2 linked regions of the Neodiprion lecontei genome follow. The protein of the gene in region 2 purifies or fractionates together with the protein of the main gene of each other region. This does not show direct contact. Links are inferred from orthologs where the notes say so. Each region holds a gene or a part of one and is shown on either strand. Other genes may lie near its edges.

Region 1 (5,199 bases), on a different chromosome or scaffold from region 2:
TAACAAACCCTCCTTTGTCTTGCGAATAAGCAGCGACAGCTAACAGCGGATAGTTCGGATGCCATGCAGCGTATGTACTAATAGAAGCAGTCTCAGGATTTTGTACTCGAGTATCAAAATACAGCGACATTATGAAATGCTCTCCAATTTAATCGTGGCGTTTGAATTACCCAAATCGGCTCAAGGCAAACGAGGGTCTGAAATTATTTCAGTATCAGATGTAACACTAAATGTAAGCATTTTCGTGAAACTACGATAGGTTAGATCACAACCGGCGCCTAATATCGACTGATTCGGTCTAGAAGCTCTGATATCAATGACAAAATTTACGGTTTTTCAAACGTTCTAAGCTCGCTTTGGTTGTTTCTCGATAACGAATTCATAGCAAAATCAATTGTGTATCGATCGTTTGACATTTCGTGTAAACAAACACTTGACGTAGAAATAGTTAGTCAAGTTTTGTTACAATTGAGCACGTATACGGGATTAAAATTCGTTAATTATTCAACAGATCGACAGATTTATTTAGCAGTTTTTTTTTTCTTAAACCAAGAGTTCCCTCGGTTCTTTTTTACTTGATTTTTCTAGAATTCTACTAGTTTCCTATTTGATCGAAAACGCGCATGGCGGATTTTCACTGCAAGGAAGAAAATTTGGGTCATTTGGGTCACCTAACTGTCAACAAGCGATTCATTTAGAATGCATCATACATTTCCCAAAATAAAGAACATTCAACTTATTTAGTTATATGTATTTTAACAAAAATTGCAAATAGTAAATTCTTATTTATGTATGTTGAAGTTTAATTTTTTCCAACCTTTTGAAATATCTTTATATTCATTTACTCGGTGTCGAATTTCAATTTCAGTTAAAATATAGCATTTCGTTTATTATAAAATGTTGATAAGAATTTCACGATACAAACAAATTTACCTTCAAAAATGAATTACAATATCAACCGACGACATTTAAAGTACTTAGGTAAAACACGCGGGCTCTGATTCTAGCACCCTCATTTTCTGAAAGGAATCATAAATTTTCGTAAGCAAACAGGAGAATATATTATTTTATACAAGCGTGAAAATCACTATTACATTTTACCTTGAGATAATTTTGCCTTTGGTTGCCAGCACTCGCATCTGCGGCAGCCAACAGTGATCTGTAACGTTCTTCCAAGCTTTCAACTAGACTGTCTAGCTCGCACTGTTTTTCCGAACTCAGTGACATCGATAATTCACTACGCTGACCCTGGAGTTGTAGCTGCAAGGCTTTAACTTCGTTTTCTTTATCCTGATATGCAAATAATTGTGTAGGCAACTTGTAAAAAATATCTCAAAAGAGGGTAAAATGTATTTCGGAAATAATATGCACCTTTAAAATATGATAAATGCGCTTCTCATATTCATGGCTCATTCGTTCTTTAGTTTTTTCCAATTTTAAAATGCCTTTTTTTAAACTGGCCACTTTATTGATAAGGTTTTGATTCTGCTTTTGATTCGCCGCTTCCATATTTGCCCTCATTTTATTAAATTCGCGCTGGATTGTTGAGCACTGCTCAGTAACAATAGCTTTCAATTTAGCTTCCTGTGAAAAAATACGGTCATTGTGCGGCGTTATTGAAACATAAGAAACGTATGATTCAGATAAAAAATTCATGAACTGCGAACATACTTCATCTTTTTTTGCCTCCAAGTTCTTCTGTAGCCCATCAATCTCCGTTTTCAGTTTTTCAATTTCAGCATTTTTATTTAACTCAATCAATGCCAATTCTTCCTCTTTCCGACTGATCACTGTATCTTTCTTTTGCAGTTCCTCATCCTTCTGTTTGATTAAGTGTTCGTGCTGCTGTCGTGCAGCTTCCAATTTTTCAGAGCAACTACTTTCTACTGCACACAGTTCTTCATCCTTTGATTCAAACATCATGTATACATTGTAGATTTTGAAATAGAACTAGAAATTCTGTTAGCTTGTCACTACTTGCCAACAAAGAGTAATACGCAGTCGTACCTTTGCCCTAGTAATTTTTTCCAAATTGGCAGTCAGCTCAACAATATTATTTTCCAAGGTACTATTCTTACATTGGAATTCTTGCAGTTGCATATTCAACTCTGTAATTTTTTCATCCATACTTTGCTTACATTGCAGGAGGGCTTCCTCATTGCTTGCCTCAAGAGAATCCTTCATTTTTTTTACTTCCATTAGTCTAGAGATGAGAAAATTGATGATTCATATTAGACATAGCTTATTACCGGATTTTGTTACCCACTTGGCTTTCAACGTTCCAATTTCTGCCGATAATTGTTTGATAGTAGCGTGAAGGTGAGGCACTTCCTTTGCAGTAGAATTTTGTTGCAAACGATTTAGTTCTTGATTTAAACGTTCATTTTGTATCTGCAGTTCTTTCACAATAGTGGTCAAGGTCTCTATCCTTTGTTCGTAAATTGCGATTTGATTTTTGTCCGCTTTACTTCCCTCGTAGCATCGAGATGCACTGATATTCTTTGTGATGTGACCGCAACGACCAGTACTGGTCGAATCAGTGTCACGTTTTTGGTTTGGTATTTTACTCCTGGTGAACTGGCATTGAATGCTCTTTGCATAATTCTTTGGCCATCCGCAATATGGGATTGTGCTCGCATCTGATAACTCGCTCCACGAGGAACTTCCGTGTACCTAAATTTCGTTCAAATATTCTTTGTCACACTCTGTTTTAAACCACTTCACTTCAGATACTGTACCATTGGAGTATACGATCTCCTTAACACTGGCAGAGGTCCATTTGGCGGCGGTTGGCTAAACATCCCACCTACATGTCCAGATTCCACTTGACAGCATAGTTCCATCAGATACTCATTCCTGAGTGCACGTTGCGTGGAGGCATAGCTCAGTTTATCCAACCAAAGCCGGCAGAGCTGCACATCTTCAGGCGCTGTGAGGGCTAAAATGTAAGGTCTAACTCGAGCCAAAGAATCCTTGAACTGCTCATCCAGCTTGAGTGCCTCCTGTTCATCGCGTTCCCTTGGTCTGGACATTTCTAATACCTAATACTCCATAAAACATATAAATGTACTCCAAATGATAGGCACTTTTAATTACATTATTTTATCAAATGCTTGAATTAAGCTTAAACTTTCTGAATTCATTTAATTTCTCCAATTTATACATTTTCATATTTTATTGTGTGTTTTCTTGACAGCTAATAAATTAATGTATGAGTATATGAATGTATACATGAATGTATGTATGTATGTACATACATTCGATATTGTCATTGTTTTTCGTATAACCATTACGATATGAAATTAACAGACTAGAATTGAGTTAGTTCACCGAGTATTTGCTACAAGTTTGTGGGCATTTTCGAAAGATTGATCTAAAATTTGACAGACACATCAAAGGATATAAAAAGATTTTAGAAGTTCGAAAGTCTGCCTACTTTTATTCCAGAAAAATATGCAGGTCTAAGATTGACGATATAATTTTGACACCCTTGCATATCGAAATACTGTGCTATCGTTTGTTTATGATTATGTTCAGCAAACTCGGTGGCATATTTCTTAATTACAAATCCAGTTTATTACCCCTCTCATAATTACATGGCACGTTTAATACTTATAATATATCACGTTCAAGCATTGATTCGGCCAGTTTTAATTAATTCTGTACAACTTATTAGCCGCTAAAATTCATTGAATGAATTTGATATTTGGTTGTCTTTTTACTTTGAAGCACCTCAAGTGATTGTGTTGCCCAATTCCAATAAAATTCGTCAAGAGGTACAATTAATCTTCACACCCTGCAGCCGTGTTTCAACTGATTCTCTGCATCTTGTTTTAGTTGTTTCAATCTATTCTTCAGGGGATAAATATGTGTACCAGTCCATTCTTCCAGGGTCGGTTGAAACAAAATAACTTCCATTTGAACTCGGATATAGCCCTCCAGCGATGATAATTCCAACAACAAACTGAAATTTTATGAAAACATAGAGAACTAATACGTCACATCCAAAATACATTGAGTGCTTTCGATTGAACTTAACACCAGTTGGAAAATGTGCACTAAAATACTTAGGCAAACAATACTGACTCGCTCAAAGCCGTCACCAAACTCCCCAATTGCATAGGATTTGTATAGTTGTTTGCAATTTGCCAAGGATTCATCCATGTTGCTATTCTGTTGAGGAATTGGCATATTTTTAGAACAGACCTTGATAATGTACAAGTACAAATATTCTGCCCTTACTGATCGCTATCAACGACATGGTGAAACTTGGTTCTGAAGTTAAGGAACCATTCGATTCCTACTGCAAGCTGCCATCCAGGGAATAACAATTTGTTTGGTATGGGAGCTGGTCGCTGTTGCGGCACTATGTGGAGTGGATGGTCTACATAGCCCAAGCTTTTAGCTACTTCTAGGTGTCTTTCTTCGGAATATCCGTGCAGCCAGACTTTTAAGCACATCACCAGAGATGGTATTGCTGTTGGCAGGAGCTCGCACATTGTGGCATAGTGATCATATCTGAAATACATTACACAGACTGTTCAGCATAATTTTAACTATAGTCTTGGTGGTGAACAAGTAAAGAAAAACAATCGACTGATATTATTCATATATATAGGTGATAATAAAATAAGCAAAACGGCACATGCCTCGACCATCCGGTGAATGCAGTTCCACGGAATTCACAAACTTTGTTGACATGAGTACTCAACTCTTCTAACCATCGTTCGTGGTTACTTATATGATGTTGAATCACGGGTATGTGTTGACAGGATCCGGTAGCACCTTTAAAAGCTGTTGCAGCCCAGATATTTGAAAATATAACACTATATTTGTCCCATAAACCTGAAAGTTGATTACATAAGTGTCTGTGTAATGCTTACAATGTTATTTAACTCACAATAAATAGATTCAAAACATTCAGGAAATTTGCTATCGGCTCTACATACATCATTCGAAAAGTACTAACCTACTGGCAAACAAAAAGTCTCTCTGGAATTATAATGCCATATCATTGGTTCAACATATTTTCCAATATAATGTTCTGAAATGATAAAAGTATATTAAGTAGAGGATATTACACATTGTCTATGCTAAACACAAGATAAACTCAAAGCATGCTAATGATTCTGTAATAGAAGGTTCTGTATTGATGATAATTGGCTTAAAATTTTTCTCATGACGTTGAATACTAACAAA
Region 2 (4,218 bases):
AGTGTTCTTTGGCCGATAAAAAAAATACGTTTCGCTTGGTTTTCTAGTCTACTGTAACATATTAAAAAATAAGTCATATTGAAGAAATCGACCTGCGATACCTTTCTTGTGCGCGATCGCATTGCTTCAAACTTTGAGAAACTGTAGGGTTTATAATCCCGCTTCTGTGGTCGCTATTTGTGTAAAGAGAGGTTTGGAAGTTTGATATAAAAAAACGCAAAAGATACGAAGTTCAATTTGTACAAACTAGCGTCAGTAAAATAACTTCAAAGCAAGCGAAAATCGTCTACAAGTATAATACTTACGCAATTTCCATTAATTTTTCGAATTCCCCTCAACGATTTTTCAAAGTGCGGAACGATTTCATTACTCGGGAAAGAGGAAAAGATACGAAGTACTATTTGCTTGCTCACTCTATACTCCGACATCCCCGTAAGTTGAAATCATGGAGAAGCGTTGTGTTTTAGGACCCCTCGTGTTGCCAGCCTGTCCCTGTCACTATCCCAGCAGTATTTTTTACGACGATAAGATTTGGGACCAGGGACAAGAGAGGTACTTCCGCTGGCGAGATGTCAGCGGTGAAGCGGAAAGACTCGACGTCTACAAGCCTGGAGCAACCTACTGCATCCGGTCCTTGTTGGTGCAAGGTGGAGGCAGCGCAGCCGCCCAGCACTGCTGCTACGATGGGAAAAGGAGACTTTTGACCAGAGGTTCCGGTGCTGGAACTCCAAACCTCGTCAGCCCCGAAGTATCCGGTGTTTTGCACGAGAGAATCGATATCCTTCCTTGGAGGCTTTGCAAGGGAGATTTCTCTAGGTTCGAAGATATTTTTCTGTAACCTCCCTAAACTGGAGGGGTAATACGCTACGATTGAAAATCGAAGTCCTGTTTCTCATTATCTGGAAATATGAAGTATTTTTTAAATATTTAAACTCACGTGTGTATGTTTAATCTTTCAGATTCAACAAAGTGCGACCACCAAACAATGACAACCAATGCAAGGGTAACCCGGATGAAGAAGAATATCAACGACAAATCAATGAAACGAAACATTACTGAAGTACAATACGAACCAAACATCTGCATATACAATAATGTAGCTTTAACTCGAAACAATTAAAAATACTAGTGATATATTAAACTATTACATGTTTTAATGTATCTGGCACATCCAGTGTTAAAAACCTTCAACAGTGTAATAATTTTTAAGTGTATTTTTGTGTAGTTTTATGCAAGTTCGTGTAGAGGTTAAAAAAAATGTATACATCCTTGTGCACTTTTCCTTTTTCACCAGTCGGTGAAAATGTAACGCAGGTGAGTGTGCACAAAGGATGATATTTAAAATAGAAAATCTTACACCACATCGTATATGGTATTTGTTAACATAATTAGGCTTTCCAGTATTTAAAAAAAAATGGAAACCTGTTTCCACCGTTGGACACGTTGTGTGATTTGCAGAATGAAGGGAATTTTAATAACATTGAAAATTCCGATATCACTTCACTGATCGCATTGGAAACTTTTCCGTCTTTAAAGTTTCACCAAAATCTTATGGAGTAGGTACTTTTAACATCATTGCGTCAACAAACTTTGATTACCTTAAACATCTACGCCGAAATCTCTCGGAGCCCCTTGATCCGCGCCTAGTTTACCTCGTAAATGAATGCGGCCCTGACTCTAACAATGAGATACAATCAGAGGTGTACCTACCTACCTACCTTCCTCGGTTCTTATTCGAATGGGAAACCGGTTCGAGTGAAGGAAGTCACGTGACAGCCCGAAGCACTCCGCGTCTATACCAAAGCAACACCGAAGCACCAGCGACGGCGCAGGGACGCTCGGAGAACCAGTGAAAGAGAGTTGCCATGGATACCGCTTACAAACAGAAGGTAAGTCTATTCCGTTTCGATAAAATTTCACCTAGGAGCCATCAGTGTTTACCGTGAATCCCGTGAATTATACTCAGAGTACCATGGACTGGGGAATGGAGCTAGAAGTTACCTCGAAAAAGGTATAGAGCCGCGGAGAACGCGACATGTAATCAATGGCTCGTTGTCGACGAGCGAGCGGTCGCAGGATTCTAATCTACGTTGTTTCATTATTCGCGGTTGAATAATCCGGCCGTCATTCTTCGCTGAATGTCCCTGTAAATAATCAAATCTCCGTATCCTCAGCTGCTACCTCGCCTAGGCCGGAGAGCTGGACAATCTAGTAACCTGCAGGAGGAGCTCAAGTCGGACGAGGAATTACTCGACAGCCCGATATCACCGTCTTCCGAGCAATCGGCGAGGACGATAGCCGGAGGCCATCAACCCGTGGCACCGCCGCGTTCGCGGAAGACAGGCTGGGCCGACGAATTTAAAAGTGGCGGGAAGTACGTTGACGGAAACTGAAAGCTTCCGCTTTCGCTGATCGTTTTAAAAATGGAAATTGCCGAAAGCAGTTTGAATGTCATTCGTAAGACTAGAGTTCGGGGGAAGATCGGATCAGTGCGTAAGATTATAGCCGTCGATTGTTCTGATCAGACTGTTGATCGGAACGTTTTTTTATTTACAGGATGAAGAGCACCATCAATATAATAGAACAGTGAGTAAATCGTAGTAGAAGTAACGAATCAGGCATCTCTAGTCACTAATAGATTATTCCTTAGGGAGCGTTTTCGCGGGGTGGACAAAGATGAACCAGAAGATGGTAAATTAATTTTTGTTTACCCTTCTTGCTCATCTGTTACATAAAATAAGGATCTTTATTTCATCAATTTGTCACATTTGTATCGTATTATTTCCTACAATTATACGTAATACTATAGCGCAAATTACTTGCAGAAATACCGGTCATACCGGACTTGGACGAGATTCAGGAGGATAACTTCTTGAGCGAAATTGCAAACACACATTTGTAAGTCATTGATAATATTTTTTCTACGATACGCGTGTCGGAATAAGTTATTTTAATTATATCTGTGTTGTAACTGGTCTATTCTTCGTTTGCCTTTAAAGTTTTAGTTTTAGAGAATTACAAACTAAGCAATTTACAGTTATCATTGAAATTCGTAAAAAAATAATATCTTACGGAGGTAAATATTTTAATATATCTTTGCGTTGCAGAGGTGGTGTGAACCGAGTGGAAACGTACAAAGAGCTCGACACGGATCTGTATAAAAGTACAGCTCTATCGTCGCTCGACGACGTGAACCTGTCATTACTAACGGAAAAATTATATCCAGATAAATTAGTACGTGAACCAGACGAAGTGTGGAACTGGGATTTATCGTTTACACAGATCGCGTCTGAAATAAATAGCGAGAAGCAAAACGAGGTTAAATCCTAACTAAAAACTGTTCGAATAATATAATTATCATTTATGACTTATGTAATAGTACAATTAGACATTTCCATCAATAAAGTTATTTTTATACGTATGTACGTTTTCACCACATCCCTTCATTGAACATGATGTTGTCCGTAATTGTTTGGAAAAATTGAATAAAAAACATGGCAAACTGCGTCCGCAGTGCCTGTATATGGAAGCGACAAATTACCTCGTCTGACCTATTCGATTGCCCCCCAATTTGGAAATCGCGGTAGTTCGAGGAGCCACGTGAGGACTCAACCGTGCCGGCGCACAGGGCAAATGTACGCGCAATCGGGAGTCGTACACAAGCTACTTGAAGCGACCACGTGACAACACCCACTGAGCAGATCTGCCTTTGTCTAACGTTAGCGATCAATGTTCAGCTGTGCCATCACTAGCACACACTTCCGTTGGACAATTTCGCGTTGCTCTGTTTTATAGTAATCGTCAAATGCATCTACCACTTGCGAGAAATTCAAGAATCGTCTGGAAGAACTCTGGCAATGTTACGAAAAGATGTCATCCTTGAAGTTTTGCGGGGAATTCAACAAAAGCCATAAGATTATAAAGACATTGAAATCATGCGGCTCTAATAGCAACCTATTGATAAATTTTCGATGAAAAATACAGAGCCGAGTTGCTGCGTTTAACGCGCAGCCATCTATGGACTGAAATTGAAATCACTTACACGCTAAAGCTTGATTTCTCATTTTTAGTGCTTGCCAATGATTCGTGGCGCCTCTAAGCGGGAATGCCGGAAATGATATTCAAATATTGTTTTCTCCCGGCAGATTTAGAATTTGACAATTAATAACCATGAGATATTGATACACGAATAGTGAATACAACTGTTTCTGATCAGTT

Evidence for each region.
Region 1: the proteins of intraflagellar transport protein 43 homolog (region 2) and intraflagellar transport protein 140 homolog purify together in Homo sapiens (affinity purification with mass spectrometry; 3 studies listed by BioGRID and IntAct, counting the BioPlex papers as one, with this or other methods). This does not show direct contact. The link is inferred for Neodiprion lecontei from reciprocal best matches to the Homo sapiens genes IFT43 and IFT140.

What each region holds. Positions count from the first base shown.
Region 1 is NC_060261.1:8,581,980-8,587,178, reverse strand, and holds the start of intraflagellar transport protein 140 homolog, read right to left. Parts: upstream 3,161-5,199; 5' UTR 3,033-3,160; coding exon 2,739-3,032; intron 2,674-2,738; coding exon 2,267-2,673; intron 2,204-2,266; coding exon 2,008-2,203; intron 1,906-2,007; coding exon 1,672-1,905; intron 1,585-1,671; coding exon 1,372-1,584; intron 1,291-1,371; coding exon 1,102-1,290; intron 1-1,101. Other genes in the region: hexosaminidase D, read right to left, coding at 3,790-3,964, 4,087-4,173, 4,243-4,518, 4,650-4,845, 4,970-5,044. UniProt on the Homo sapiens protein: Component of the IFT complex A (IFT-A), a complex required for retrograde ciliary transport and entry into cilia of G protein-coupled receptors (GPCRs).
Region 2 is NC_060262.1:41,936,758-41,940,975, reverse strand, and holds intraflagellar transport protein 43 homolog, read left to right. Parts: upstream 1-1,889; 5' UTR 1,890-1,972; coding exon 1,973-2,011; intron 2,012-2,174; coding exon 2,175-2,374; intron 2,375-2,556; coding exon 2,557-2,586; intron 2,587-2,638; coding exon 2,639-2,691; intron 2,692-2,825; coding exon 2,826-2,898; intron 2,899-3,107; coding exon 3,108-3,330; 3' UTR 3,331-3,425; downstream 3,426-4,218. Other genes in the region: uncharacterized protein LOC124293645, read left to right, coding at 468-816, 960-1,059. UniProt on the Homo sapiens protein: As a component of IFT complex A (IFT-A), a complex required for retrograde ciliary transport and entry into cilia of G protein-coupled receptors (GPCRs), it is involved in ciliogenesis.